Linked DNA regions of Arabidopsis thaliana. The protein of the gene in region 1 interacts with the protein of each later gene in a biochemical or structural test. Each region holds a gene or a part of one and is shown on either strand. Other genes may lie near its edges.

The links.
Region 2: the proteins of TSA1 (region 1) and TSK form a complex in vitro, tested with the Arabidopsis thaliana proteins (one study listed by BioGRID).

The regions. Positions count from the first base shown.
Region 1 is NC_003070.9:19,518,780-19,526,213, forward strand, and holds TSA1 (TSK-associating protein 1), read left to right. Parts: upstream 1-1,823; 5' UTR 1,824-1,982; coding exon 1,983-2,072; intron 2,073-2,149; coding exon 2,150-2,201; intron 2,202-2,299; coding exon 2,300-2,341; intron 2,342-2,424; coding exon 2,425-2,510; intron 2,511-2,650; coding exon 2,651-2,720; intron 2,721-2,860; coding exon 2,861-2,935; intron 2,936-3,018; coding exon 3,019-3,066; intron 3,067-3,165; coding exon 3,166-3,231; intron 3,232-3,319; coding exon 3,320-3,367; intron 3,368-3,467; coding exon 3,468-3,536; intron 3,537-3,622; coding exon 3,623-3,670; intron 3,671-3,794; coding exon 3,795-3,863; intron 3,864-3,932; coding exon 3,933-3,980; intron 3,981-4,078; coding exon 4,079-4,147; intron 4,148-4,244; coding exon 4,245-4,292; intron 4,293-4,389; coding exon 4,390-4,449; intron 4,450-4,524; coding exon 4,525-4,578; intron 4,579-4,659; coding exon 4,660-4,722; intron 4,723-4,815; coding exon 4,816-4,863; intron 4,864-4,939; and 15 more. Other genes in the region: AT1G52415 (Bifunctional inhibitor/lipid-transfer protein/seed storage 2S albumin superfamily protein), read left to right, coding at 7,387-7,434. UniProt on the Arabidopsis thaliana protein: Involved in seedling development in the dark. May be involved, when interacting with TSK, in the organization of spindle microtubules and may participate, when interacting with GIP1, in structural links between the nuclear envelope and the cytoskeleton.
Region 2 is NC_003074.8:6,447,175-6,455,048, forward strand, and holds the start of TSK (tetratricopeptide repeat (TPR)-containing protein), read right to left. Parts: upstream 6,028-7,874; 5' UTR 5,872-6,027; coding exon 5,605-5,871; intron 5,481-5,604; coding exon 4,680-5,480; intron 4,169-4,679; coding exon 3,992-4,168; intron 3,785-3,991; coding exon 3,693-3,784; intron 3,203-3,692; coding exon 3,104-3,202; intron 2,993-3,103; coding exon 2,263-2,992; intron 2,145-2,262; coding exon 2,015-2,144; intron 1,803-2,014; coding exon 1,686-1,802; intron 1,467-1,685; coding exon 1,366-1,466; intron 1,216-1,365; coding exon 1,098-1,215; intron 974-1,097; coding exon 861-973; intron 781-860; coding exon 669-780; intron 461-668; coding exon 356-460; intron 269-355; coding exon 202-268; intron 122-201; coding exon 1-121. Other genes in the region: RLK902 (Ribosomal protein L7Ae/L30e/S12e/Gadd45 family protein), read left to right, coding at 6,263-6,389, 6,485-6,696; WNK6 (with no lysine (K) kinase 6), read right to left, coding at 7,133-7,680, 7,773-7,874.

The DNA.
Region 1 (7,434 bases):
AGTCTTATTTCTCTGATCTGAATCATCCTGGGCCACTTTTCTTGTTCCCACTGTGGTTTTACAATTATTAGGACTGTTCCATTCGTAGTGTGCATTATTATATAATGTAAGAAAAGTAGTTACGTACCGAATTGTTATTTTTGTTTGTTTGTAATACAGGAGAACGCTGATTAGAAGTCCATATTAATCTACTTGACATGTATAGGTAGAATTATTCAGAACCAAGAAGACATGCATGCTATGTCTATATGTATATGGCGGATATGGAAATTTATTTGATAAAATGAATTAATGTTTATAAAAAGCATATCATAAAAATAAAATAACACATCCTATAATGGTTTTAATAACAGGTAGAAGAACTTCCCGAACGTGTTTTAACCCATTGATATGTAGGTTGAATTATTCAGAAATGAGAAGACATGCATGCTCCAAAATTATGTACAATCATTTCACGGATAAAAGCAAAATAGTTGATAATATATATATTTTGTTTGAAAAAGGGTTATAATTGAGACGATATATTTACGTGTTCTCTGATTCATATACTACTGTCTAGTGATATATAAACTTTTATATATTTATAACATAATACTAATCTCAAAAAAAAAAAAAATATTAGTAATCGATATATATCACATGTTGCACGTTGAGACAACATATATCTTTCTACTAGTACTGAACTTATATTTGTCCGCTCTGGACTACGACGTCACACGGGAGCCATGCATTTAACTATTCCATCAAGGGACCATCAAACCTAGAGACACTATTGGATAATTTATTGTTTGAAGAAAAAAAAATTATTGCGTAGTTTAAATTATTCACTTATTAATAGTTAATAGAAATTGAAAAGCGATATTACAACAATAATATTCTTTACTTTGGATAGAGTCGTATAGAGAATTAAAAATATATATTCCAATTATTAAATATAAAGTTAATTATAGAAAGATTGCATTTGGGTACATGTAATGCGAACTTATGAGTTCTTCAAATTTAAAGGCACTAATTCACTTTTTCAAAAGCCAAGAAGTAATTATTTTATTTGGAGTTTTAAAGTTGTTTCAGGGTTTTATCATTTTGAACAGTGAAAAAGTCCCTATTTCTATAATTATAGCCTTTGAAAAATGCCTACTTTCACACGAATTTTATGAAAAGTTTGTAAAATCCCTTAAATGTGATTATATATACTGAAAAAAGAGGTTCTAAAATCTTCTTAAGGTTTCAAGTTTTATTTCTGGTTCAACATATAGAAGAGACATTAATAATAATGACCCTAGCTAGCATTCTCCACAAAATTAAGTATGGAGGATGAGTCTGTCCATGGATTGATATCCAAATTCATGACTAGACAGAATTAACGCAAAAAATCGAAATTCCACAATATTGACAAAATGAAATATAAAGTCATTAATTTTTTTAGAGTTGTGAGTTTGTTTTTTTACGTAATAATAGTTTTAAAAAATTTAATTTACATAATAGAAAACTAATAAAAGTATTTTTACTATGTCAAAAAATATAAGAAAACAAACCAACGTAACACATAAAAAAATGAGATGTTCAAAAACGAATTTGTACGAGCTTGACCACTTAACTATTGAGCAATCTGATTTGGGAATGGAAGGCATAACCAAAAAAAAAAGAGATGTGTTTTTAAAAAAATTGACTTTATTAAAATAAATATTTCTATCTTAGTTATTCCATCAATAGTTTTTTTTTTGTTTTTTTTCCTATTTCCATGATATTATTATTTTCAATAAAATTATAAAATGTCACATTTACTAATATTAATTATATTATTTCACATCTAGCTGTTTAACTTTTGCTACACACAAAATGAGTTATCTAGAAGAAGAGCCACGAGATAAAAGAATGAAATCCACGTTTAAGTTAGTTACAACGGTTTTATTTTATAAGCGTATCCATAGCTATGTGATGCTTCTTCAAGCTTAAAGATTTTGTGTATCCTCGTTCTTGTAATGGAAATCTACACCATGAAAACGAATTTTCTTGTACTGGCTTTGTCTTTGTGTATCCTTCTTTCAAGCTTCCATGAGGTTTCTTGTCAGGTAGAAAAAAACATGTCTTTTAATTATTTTTCTTTCAACCTTAAAAATAATTTTCAACGCATCTTGTATCTTTTTAGGATGATGGTAGTGGTTTGAGTAATTTGGATCTAATAGAACGTGATTATCAAGGTAAGGACATTCTCAGAAATACCGACACTTATCCAAGGTTTTCTTTCTTTTTATTTGTTTTCTTGGATTGATTTTAGGTTCTCTTTTTTTCTTTCTAGATAGTGTCAATGCTCTTCAAGGCAAGGACGATGAAGATCAGTGTAAGATCTCTCTCTCTATATCTCTTTCTTGATTCTATTTTTGTTATGTTTGTGACAGCTTCTATGTTTCTGTGTGTCTTCAGCTGCAAAGATACAGAGTGAAAACCAGAATAACACTACAGTGACTGATAAGAACACTATTTCTCTATCTCTATCAGATGAATCTGAGGTTAGGGTTTAGCTTTTGTTGCGTTGCTCTTTAAGTTTAGATTTGGATTCTAATTAATGAAAGTAATAAAGAGATTCCTGCAAAGTAGTTTTTTGTAAACTTAATTAAGGTGAATTTTTGTCTTTGCTGTGTGTGTTTAGGTTGGATCTGTTAGTGATGAAAGCGTTGGACGTTCGAGTCTGTTGGATCAAATCAAACTTGAATTCGAAGGTATCTCAAGATCTTGATCTTAGTGATTGTGTTTATGGTGTGAAACATGAAAGGCCCTTATTTATTTTACTATATAGTTAATCAGAAATTGATGTTTAGTAAAGTTTTTGTATATAATTGTGTATCATGATTAATTGCAGCTCATCACAATAGTATTAACCAAGCTGGATCTGATGGTGTCAAGGCTGAATCCAAGGATGATGATGAAGAATTATGTAAGATTTTCTTCTATGAAATTCTTTGTTTCTTCAATAGTTCTTTCTTTTGCTGATGTAGTTGTTATTGTGTCTTGTTTCAGCTGCTCATAGACAGAAAATGTTGGAAGAAATCGAACATGAGTTTGAAGGTTGTCTCATAGATTATACATCTAGCTAGCTTATAGTTAGTTCACTTATAAAAAAAAGTTTGTTAATCTGACTTCTTTTGCTTCTCCTACTTGTTGCAGCTGCTTCAGATAGTCTGAAACAACTAAAGACTGATGATGTAAACGAAGGAAATGATGAAGAACATTGTAAAAGACTCCTTCTCTTGACTCCATTTTGTCCTTGCCATAATATGATACACTGAAACAGGTTTTGTATCACTTGTTACACTTACAGCTGCAAAGAGGCAAAGTTTGTTGGAAGAGATCGAACGTGAGTTTGAAGGTATATTCTCAACATACATGTCTTAGATAGCTCCTCTGTTTTGAGATAAAATCTTGAATCTAATAGTTAGCTTTTTCTTCTGTTTCATCTCATACCTTAGCTGCTACAAAAGAACTTGAACAACTAAAGGTTAATGACTTCACCGGGGACAAAGATGACGAAGAACACTGTAATAAACCTCTTCAATTTCAGATTTATCTGTTCCCTTTGTCTCTATTTGAGTATTTTGTGACTGATTATGTGTCTTTGTTACAGCTGCAAAGAGAAAAAGTATGCTTGAAGCTATTGAACGCGAGTTTGAAGGTATCTTGAGACACCAGTATGTTTCAATATGTTCTAAGAAGAATGCAGAAACCATTATAAATCAATCTGAGTATCATCTAAGAGTTTGTTTGTGTGATTTTCTATTTCAATCTCCTACTTGCAGCTGCTATGGAAGGCATTGAAGCACTTAAGGTTTCTGATTCCACAGGAAGCGGAGATGATGAAGAACAATGTAAAGTCACATATAGTCCTTTTTGGTTTTCTCTTATCCATTTCCACTGAAGCTGCTATCTTGTTACAGCTGCAAAGAGACTAAGTATGCTTGAAGAGATCGAACGGGAATTTGAAGGTACTTTGTATATATACCACAAACTGTCTTAATCATATGATTCGTAAAGAAAATTGTGTGTTACTTAATAATATGTTTCTGTGTTCTGTTTCTCATAGCTGCTTCAAAAGGTCTTGAACAACTAAGGGCTAGCGATTCAACCGCGGACAATAACGAAGAAGAACACGGTATGAAACGTTTGCGGTTTGTCCCATCTTCTTTATCTAATTCCTTTTCCTGCATACAGTTTTCTGAATCAGATTGAATATACTGTCATAAAAACAGCTGCAAAGGGACAAAGTTTGTTAGAAGAGATCGAACGAGAGTTCGAAGGTATCTCCTACATAACATTTACTAAGAGTCTTAATTAGTTCACATCCCAACCCTGAGTAATATCTGAGAGTCTTATATCTACATTTATCACTTGCAGCTGCTACAGAGAGCCTTAAGCAACTTCAAGTTGATGATTCTACTGAAGACAAAGAACACTGTAAAGCACTCTTCTTCTTATTATCTGCTATTCTTTCTCTATGGTTATCTGAATCAGGCTTTGAATGTATTGTAGTTACAGCTGCAAAGAGGCAAAGTCTGCTGGAAGAGATTGAACGTGAATTTGAAGGTTATCTTTAATATCAAATATAGAAAACTAAACATGGAGAATAGTGTTTTTAAGAATGTGTTTATTGTCTTCTATTTGCAGCTGCAACAAAAGATCTTAAACAACTAAATGATTTCACTGAAGGCAGTGCTGATGATGAACAATGTAAATATCTTTCTTTTTCTGCGGGTTTTCGACTCTTTTTCTTCCTTACAGTATTCTGAGCCTATTCTTCTTGTATCTTGATCTTTATTACAGCTGCAAAGAGAAACAAAATGTTGGAAGATATCGAACGCGAATTTGAAGGTAATCTATCCTCACATACCATTTATCTCACACTCTTTTTTAGATCCTAATTTTCTGTAATTTTATAATTTTGTAGCTGCTACAATAGGTCTTGAACAACTAAAGGCTAATGATTTCTCTGAAGGCAATAATAATGAAGAACAATGTAAGAAACAACAAAAACTCTTCTTGATTCACTTTCTTCACCACAGTATTCTGAGACAGAGTTAGTTATCTCTTGTTATATAGCTGCAAAGAGAAAGAGTATGCTTGAAGAGATCGAACGCGAGTTCGAAGGTATGTCAACATATAAGTATCTGTCTCATCAGCTCATATTCTTCAGAGGAAATCTTGAACCTGTTTTCATCTTCTACTTGCAGCTGCTATTGGAGGTCTTAAACAGATCAAAGTTGATGATTCCAGAAATCTTGAAGAAGAATGTAAACTCTCTGATCCATTTTTTCTCTTTAAAACCTTCTCATACAAAATTTGTAACTGTTTTGGTTATAATTTTTTGTTTCAGCTGCTAAGAGAAAGATAATTTTGGAAGAGATGGAACGTGAATTTGAAGGTACTCCAAGATTCTATTACTGATCTCTTCTAAGTTCTAAGTAAAGAAAGTATAGATTGACAGTTTCTGATTCCAACCTTCTTGTTCTGCAGAAGCACACAGTGGTATTAATGCAAAGGCTGACAAAGAAGAATGTAAGAAACAACCAAAAGTCTTTAACTTTTTTGCTTCACTCACTGTCTCAAAATATTTTTCTAAGACAATTCTTGTTCTCACAGCTGCAAAGAAACAGAGTGGCTCTGCTATACCAGAGGTTCTTGGACTAGGACAGTCAGGTGGTTGTAGCTGTTCTAAACAAGACGAAGATTCCTCGATTGTTATACCAACAAAATATAGCATAGAAGATATCCTCTCTGAAGAATCTGCAGTCCAGGTTTTTGTTTTAAACCTTTTCTTGAACAGCAAGAAAGTGATCAGAATCACAATCTCTAAAGTCTAATTCCTATGTTTTCATGATTTTTCAGGGAACAGAGACTTCTAGTCTCACCGCGTCTTTGACTCAACTCGTTGAGAATCACAGGAAAGAAAAGGAATCTCTACTCGGACACAGAGTTCTCACTTCTCCTTCTATAGCTTCTTCCACAAGCGAATCATCTGCTACATCAGAGACTGTAGAAACCCTAAGGGCTAAACTGAATGAGCTTCGCGGCTTAACCGCTCGTGAGCTTGTGACACGTAAAGATTTCGGTCAGATTCTCATTACGGCTGCGAGTTTTGAAGAGCTAAGTTCAGCTCCAATCAGTTACATTTCTAGGTTAGCTAAATACAGAAACGTCATCAAAGAAGGACTTGAAGCTTCTGAGAGAGTTCACATCGCGCAGGTACGAGCAAAAATGCTCAAAGAAGTTGCCACGGAGAAGCAAACCGCCGTGGACACTCATTTCGCAACCGCTAAAAAGCTTGCTCAAGAAGGAGACGCGTTGTTCGTTAAAATCTTCGCAATCAAGAAACTGTTGGCGAAACTTGAAGCAGAGAAAGAATCTGTTGATGGAAAGTTTAAGGAGACTGTGAAAGAACTTTCTCATCTTCTGGCTGATGCTTCTGAGGCTTACGAAGAGTATCATGGCGCGGTGAGGAAGGCGAAAGACGAGCAAGCGGCTGAGGAATTTGCGAAAGAGGCGACGCAAAGTGCAGAGATCATTTGGGTTAAGTTTCTTAGTTCTCTTTAGAGAACAATTGAGATTCTTGGTTGTGTTAAGAGCAAATCTAGAGCTCTTGTTGGTTCTTGTTATGTATTTTGTGATGATGTTCTGTTTCAGAGTTTGTGTGTTGGTTGTATCAGGAGAAAGAGGCTGGGAGATAGAGAGAAAGAGAGTCTCTGCGAAAACTAATAATGTTTTTTCAGATATCTAAATAATAAGCTTTTTGCATACATTGTATTGTAAATTTGTAACATTCTTCTCCTCTCTTCCAATGATTTTTTTTTCTTGTTGACTATTCTTACTAAATAACGATGAGGTAAAATATAGGTAAATGATTATCATTTTTTTTTTACTTGCTATATCATTTCAACTGGGAGAGGTTAAAAATACAAAAATAGCTTTAAGCCTTTAATAACAATATTGGCAAAGTATTTTACTATGAGATAGAAAAATGGTTTTTGGTGTCCACTATAAAAACAACTAGAATGATCGGTCAATTTGAATTTACAAGGAACATTGAAGTTCTCACTTCTAATCTATTCTGATTTACTCTGAAATTTTAGTTATAGTTTGACCTACTAATTAAAATACTCTAAACTAAAACGTACTAGTGTTTTTTTTTTTTAAACGTACTAGTTGAATCCGAGAAACGCTCAACTCACCGTTTTTTTTTTGTTTTAAATAATTCACACGCGGCCGAATGCATTAAAATCTCGCATGCGTTTATTAAGTTGAATTTTCTGTTAAAAGTATATAAGATAGTGTTACGATTACGTTTATTAGGTAGAGAGATATAGTAAGACCAAACAAATAAAACAAAAAATTTGCTACATGGTTAGGATGATGATGAAAGTAGCGTTTGCAATGACGTGTCTTCTG
Region 2 (7,874 bases), on another chromosome or scaffold:
CGTTCCTATTCCACTGCTGCCAACCAAAAGTTTTGACAGAGATGGAGTCTTAACAAGTGCATAAAGGCTATCAACAACTTGGCTGCTCAGCTTTATGCCATTCATGCTCAGTTCTGCAAAGCTGCAGTGTTTTGACATATGATCATGTTAGATGGATTTACGTATAAAAAAAAAACAGCTTTAAAATGTGTTTCTTTCAACCTGCTTAGAGTAGCCAATTTAGCCAAGAGGTTTTGAATACTACTCCCTGAAACAGGATTATTATAACCTGCCATATACGGATCCACCAACTTCAGCAAACTGAAACGAGATAAAAAAAATAAATTGAATGTACATAACAAATTAGAAAGATCACCTATACAGAGTTGTGAAAGTCCTGACTTCGAATCCAAAGCATTAGCTACCTTTTGGATTGTTCTTGATGTAAGTGAACAATGTTCCACATTCAAGCTGTAAAGTGCTAAGAAACAAAAGGGGACACATTAATGTAAGCTAGTGAATGGAAGAAAATGTTTAAGATTATTAAACCTAATATCAGGTATTTCATATATCTATCTACTGGGTTTATAAGACACCAGTGAAACCAAGAAACAAAACATACCATCAGGGCATTTAGATACTGTAAATGAATTATCATAATTTAAAAAAAAAAAAAAAAAAATCTATACCCCGGCAATTTTTCACTATAGTTGAGAGGTATGATCCACAAGCATCTGTAAGTCGATTCCTGGACACATTGAGGACTTCAAGTCGAGTGAACAGAACAGGGCATTCACAGATCTGGTAAAGAGGAGTATATTAAATAATACGAAAATAACATGAATATGTGAAATTTTCTAGCTTTGGGCCTAGTAGTGTACCTGAAACAAAGCAGTTGGACCAAATCGATTGCAGTGCAAATCCAAAGTTAAAGCACCATACATCTGGCTTGATGAGGCAAAAAGTTGTTTCAATTTCTCCATTGTTCCATTCCCTAACAACCAATGAGACGATGGAAATTAACACTTCTGAATTTCCTAGTAGTTCCCTATGCATAACCAACTAACTCACTTAGGTCAGCTCATTAAATTAAGTAAGACGTCAGAGGCAACTTTCACCTAGCATATTGTGGGAGAGATCCAACATAGCAATATTGTGGACATGGAGGGCACACAATAATGGAGCAGCTGATATGTCTTGCAGTTCACATTCTGACACATTGATATCATCTTCTACCTGATAAACATACAACGAAATAACCATTCAGATTATACATCAAATAAAGTAAGAATTTGTAACTAGCTAGCTTTAAGTAGGTTGAAAAGCAAACAAAGAGAAGAAAATATTTCATACATTAACCGCTAAAATTTGGGGTAATACTCTCACCTCCGAAATATATAATTTCTTAAGCAATTTCATACTGGGTTTCTCTGACAACGACTGGCAACAGTCCATGTATAGTTTCATCAGGCGCTTGTGAACCCAGCCTGAAAACAAATTAATTTCATGCTGATTCAGCCGTGGTGTATAAATAAGAGGGAAGAATCAATGACCATAATCTTAAAAGCCAATACAGCGGTTCAGCACAATCATGTAAAAAGTGAGAGAACAATTTGTGATGAAAACAAATTTATAGAATGATCAGCTTGACAATCATACATCCAAATATCATGAGTAGATTCCAATTCTATCAAGGAAATACTTACCATCAACGGAAGCTTCAATAACAACATTTTCAGAAGAGTCCCTGAGAATCGCATATAGTTCCAATGGTTTCAGAACTCTTCCACCATATTCCAAATGATGAATGATCGGCAACAGACCTAACGCAAATTGAATGTTCAAAGATTCAAACTTTTAGAGCAAAACTTAAAACGTGCTAGGAAACAAGGGGAATGATATCAAAAAGCAAAAGAAATGTTATTAAGCGTGAGATGAGAATTATAGGACTGATCCGAACTGGGATCATGCATTATAGAGACTGATCCGAACTGGGATCATCCTAAAGTTTTGCTAAGAAAACAAAAGCACATACCTTTAGATTTCTCATCGTCAGGAAGCTGTAAATAGTATAGGCAAGTAAGTTCCACCTTCACAGACTCATCATCGTGAGAACAGGAGTCTAAAGCTATGTGTTCATTTTCAATTTCAATTTTTATTTTTCGCTGCAACAAGTAAAACATATAGTTATCATGAAGAAGATTGGACGAAGTAGAAAAATAAATGAAATCCAATCCCAAGAATGGTCAATGATAACTCAAAAACCAGATCACAGTTGCTCACATCCTCAGTTTTTGAGTAAGCGTGGAAGTTCACGAGAGCAGCTCCAGTTTTGCAGGACGTGCCGTTGGAGTCGCCAACATCACATTGAGATCCTTTTTTACGACGACCAGTTGTTTCAACAGCTATATTATTACTCAAAGATCTACAATTGCTGACATTTGGAGCCACCTTAATAGGATGGAGAGGCGTATACGAGCAAGAACCTTCTTCTACATTATCTTGGATGGCACGATTATCCGTATAATTAATAGCACCATCAAAATACATACTTTCCTCAGAAACCTCTTCATTCTGCCTTAGAACTTTGTGAGAACTGTCTTTAGGGCATCCCAGCTCATATTCGGTCTCACTTTCATCATCAGAGAGGATTACTCGAATACGCTTTCGACCAGCAACTGTCTGCTGAGAGTCTGCTACTACAGAGAAATCTTTCTTCGTCTGATCAGTGTCAGCATCTTGTTTTCCTGAAACTTGTTTCCTTTTGAACAGACGTTTTCCAGGCTGGAGAAATGAAATTAGTGGCACATCATCATTTGCTTCATCCAGATCTGCTAACCGTTCTGATCTAAGTGAATTTGGTGTTTGCGGTGAGCTACATGCATTTGGCCTATCATTCGATACATTCGCATGCCCTTCTGAGTCAGTTTCAGAGCATTCATCTTGTGTACTACATTCGGCTTTCTCAGCATGTTCTGACTCCTTCAGATTTTGTATTGTTTCCTTCAATTCACTAGACAGTAGAAATAATATATGAGTAAAATGAAATACTTGAAACTGCAAACCTTACACCAGATTTGGTGTCTATCCATATTCCGTCCAGTGACAAAACAGTAATTGTTACCTGGCTTTTTGAGCATTCCCAAATCTCATCATATGGATATAGTGTATATCTTCCAGTGCAGAAAGCTGGATTGAAGGAAGATTAGCTTTCAAAGCAATTCTGCAGGATCAAATGAAAATAAATCCAGAAAGACCAATAGTTAATTTATTAGCATGCAGTATGTGTGTATAAATTCACGTAAATGTATATGCGATGTGTTTGAATATAGCAGAAGAAAGTCACAGAAAAAATATTTTAAGTGATTGAAAATGCAAAATGTGCTATAATTATCCACTATCATGAGAAGTACTGATTCAAAGTACATTGTATTATTTATTCAGAAGCCATAGTGCAGTAATTCGTGAACTTAGTCGAAAGGGACAACCAACAAGCAGTTAAGTACTTTATAGCACATTCACATTTGCTCTGCTTCAAGTGTTCTTTCCATTTTAAGAAAAAAATGAGTTTCATCGCCGTCATATTGTTCAATGGAATTATCAGTTCTCTCAAGGAAAATTAATAAGTAGATTTACTAGGACTGAATCACAAACATAACCAAATAATAGCTCAAATGCGCAGTTTGATAAAGATTACTTATAATTGGATCTACCTGTACCCCTCTTCATATGCCTGAAGTGCTCCTGTCCATTCCCCAATACAGTCCAAACCATTACCAATATTAATCTTCGCTAGTGCTTGACCCTACAAGAGACCACCATAAGTGAATATTAGAATCAGGAAAGAAGAATAGCTATAATATTGACAAATCCAAGAAAAGGTATAATCAGTTTTCCACAGAAAATGTTCAGTAGAGGCCTAATGAATTATTTCTGGTTTTGTGAATCAAATTCTGATGACAGTAGTGAACATAGGTTTTTATAATTAATCGTGCAAGCAAACAAATCTCACCTCCAGATTACCAATTGCTTCATGTCCCTCATAACTTCTTATGAACCACTTCAGGGACTTTCTGAAATTTCTGAGATTTTGGTAAGATTCTCCAACAATCATGAAGGCATCACTCAGCTTTTCCTTGTCACAGAGTTCATCTGATATTTTCTTCTTCCTTTTTGAATATTGAAGATGCTAAGACATTCAAAGAAGAAATAGCAACCCTTTAGTTGCATGCAAACTTCAAATGGCAGCCTCCTACTTAACTTTCAAAACTATATCACAAGTCATTGAAACAGTGATGCAGAGACTTGGATCACTCAGTATCCGTATGATACAGAATAATCATCGTTTTGCCACATAATAACTTTACTTTGCAAGTTCAGAACAAAGATATTATCCCAGCATTCAAAAGATAGGTTTTCTTGAGAGAACAAGAATCATGTAATTCTTTGATAATATAGTCTTCCTGACTGATCTGAAAAGACAGTGTCAATAGCAGAAGTTCACAAAACTTAAATCAAATCTAAGAAAATAGCATATTTTTCCTACTCCATACTACCTGATGAAATCTCACAATGCTTATTCATCATTAAAAACCCCTACGATGGACAACTTTAACTTCTGGAAACTTTTCAAATAAATGCGAACATGGGGTGGAGTGATAGGACTAAAAAGGAAGGAGTGTTTAAGTTATAAAACTCACCTTCAGCCATGCGAATACCATGCTAGATTTATCAATAAGACTTCCAAGACAAGCATTTACTTGGAGCATAGACTTTCGTTCCTCCGAAGTGCCTTTGGCATCAGTCATTTCTGCAGACAACTTCTTAAGCATAAGCTCTTCTTCTCTCAATTCTTCCATAACTTTCATGGATTTCTTGACTATCTTGGTATTATGCTCTATCTGTTCAACCAATGCACTCTCGTCTTGCATAGATTTCGCTAGACTAGAAGCTTTACCATAACATAAAAGAGCATCAATGTACTTTTGGGTCTTGTTGTGTAATTCAGCGAGATTGATATACCCCTTCGCTTCTCCTTGGACATGATTAATCTTATGACAGATATTAATATCCATCTCAATGTGTTTCTTTGCTTCATCCCAACTTCTCAGCGCCATAAAAACGTTTCCAAGGTTATGATGAAGCCTACTCCGAGCAGCATCATACTCTCTCACCTCCTCTTCATCGCAAATCTGCAGCCCTTTCTTAAGAATAGTACGGGCTGCTTCAGGATTATCAAGATCAAGGTCAAGCATACCGATGTTGTTATGTGCGTTAATATACTCCTCAAGGAATCCGCTAGATTCTCCAGGAGGTGGTTTCTCCTTGAGAATCTGTGCAAGTTCCATGGCTTTCTTAAAGTACTTTTTAGCACTCTGAATGGCTTCACAATCATCCTCAGACTTCAAGAACATTTCATGGTAAGTACGTCCAAGTTGAGTACATGCTCTTTGCTTCTCCACAGTGTCATTAGCTTCTTCAGCTAGCTGTAAATGCTTCTTCTGCAACCACCAGAAAAAAACACAAATTCAAAATGAAAAACTCAAACACCAAAATTATTCACGGAAAATTCAGGAAGCCAACAATAACCAAGTAGGAAAAAGCAATTGATTCAAGAGGGCTTACCTGATAAATCAAGGCTTCTTCGAAATTTTCGAGGCGGAGATAGATCTCGCCAAGAGACTGACAAGTAGGTAACAAATCTTTCCCAGGTAAATACTTGACGGAGATATCGTAATCAATCCTAAACCACTTGAGAGCATCAACGTACTCTCCATGATTCTTAAGGATATCGCCGACATTGTTAGCCCACCTCGCCTGTTCTCTCCGGTCACCCACTTCTTCTGCTTTCCGGTACGCTCTCTTCGCCGCAGCTACATCTAATCGACCCATCGGATGATGATTTCTCCGTTCTTCAATTGAAAGGTTTTTGTTTTCTTCCTTCCGATTTTCAGATTTCTCGAAATTTCTTTCTCAGTGATTTTGATTTTCTCATTTTCTCCAGTCGCCAAATTTTTGGTCCCATCCCAAACTATCCCGCCAAAATTCAAGGGTAAATTAGAAATTTTCATACCCTAAATCCTGAAGTTATAGGCCTTTTAGTTTGGGCCTTGGGTCGAGTTTATTTTGGGCTTCTTATATCCTCCTGTCTCCTGACAAGAAAACAAAAAAACCCTAAGGGTTCTAAGGCACTCGCTATATAAACTATCATTTTGCGCCGCCCGAACCCGAAGAAGAACTCTCTCTTGTAAACCTGCGATCTGAATCTTCCCGGCGGTGAAAAATGGTTGCGGAGAAGAAGGCGAAGAAGTCCCATGAAGGAATCAACAGCAGATTAGCTCTTGTGATGAAGAGTGGAAAGTACACTCTTGGATACAAGTCTGTTCTCAAATCCCTTCGCAGCTCCAAAGGTAAAAATTTAAAATCCCTCTTCATCGATTGATTATAGTGTTCGTCTTCCTCGTAATTTAGTTGAATAATTGTTGGATATTGTTGGGGGGTTTAGGTAAGCTGATATTGATATCTAGCAATTGCCCACCGTTGAGAAGGTCAGAGATTGAATACTATGCGATGCTTGCTAAAGTTGGAGTTCATCGCTACAATGGCAACAATGTTGATTTGGGTACTGCTTGTGGTAAATACTTCCGAGTTTCTTGCCTCAGCATCGTTGATCCTGGTGATTCCGACATCATCAAGACACTTCCTGGAGATCAGTGATTCTGATTTTGATGATTTTGCCATGTTGTTCTCTATGCTTGATTATGCTTTGTGTTCTTCAAAGACTTAATGTTAGATTTCTTTGGTTTCCCGACTTCCTCTTAATGGTTATAATTAATTACTACATTTTCGTCTCTGTTGATTGATTCCTTACACGAAAAGGCTTGATTACTTTTATTACAATAGTTGGCTATTAACTAATTACATGTTCAATTTATACAAAATCATATATAATGGACAATCTCTTAGAACATTTTAACAGGAACCATTTTTTATGTTCTAACTTGTAACAACCAACCAAATTAAATCTCAATTAATCAAATAGAAACCCTTCATCTTTCTACACTTCTCCTCCAACCAACAAATTAAACAAAAGAGATTAAAAACACAAAAGCTCTTCATCAGTATCAACGTTTTCTTTGAGCTTTTTTGGCTATTACTTTAACTTCATCAGAGACAACTTTTTCTTCGTCTCCATAATGGCCTCTTCTCTTTTCGTTGCTATCTCTTTCATATCTTCCTGATACTTAGCTTCTATCTCCTCCAGCTCTTGTCTTAACCTTTCTTCTTCCTCCAAACTTACTGGTTCGGTTGCTTCTTCTACTTCTTGAATGGAGCTCTTGTCTTCTCCTTTGGTGGCATCGACGCATTGCTTATCTTCCTCATCTGATCGTGGGCAATCTGAGTTACACGAGTGACTAACCAACTCACAAGTATCATGAAAAACAGTCTCCTCTTGTTTCTGTGGCTTTGCTTCGTTATGATGACTTCTTGAGTTCTGATTCAGTTGCGAATGGATGAGATGATCGACTGTGACATCGGTTTTCCAGGTGGGTATCATGTTGACAAGTAGTATATCAATCAGCTCGGCTATAAACGTGACGTTCTGGTCAGTTAACTCGAGTTGCTCAACCATCTCACTCGACACCTTAGAAGCAGTGTCCCCTTCTTGATAGAACAGGAAATGAATGTTCCTCACACGCCCTGTGCAACAAGACACAGTTATATTAAGTTTCAGAATGCAAAAATATCGAAGAAAGTAATGAATCTTAGCTGGAGCAGAATAAAGAACTGACCATTCTCATCTACTATACGAAGAATTAAGGACACAGACTGCTCATCGTTTTCTTCACCCTTGAGGACAAAGAAATTCCCTCTCTTTGCGCGTCTAACCTCAA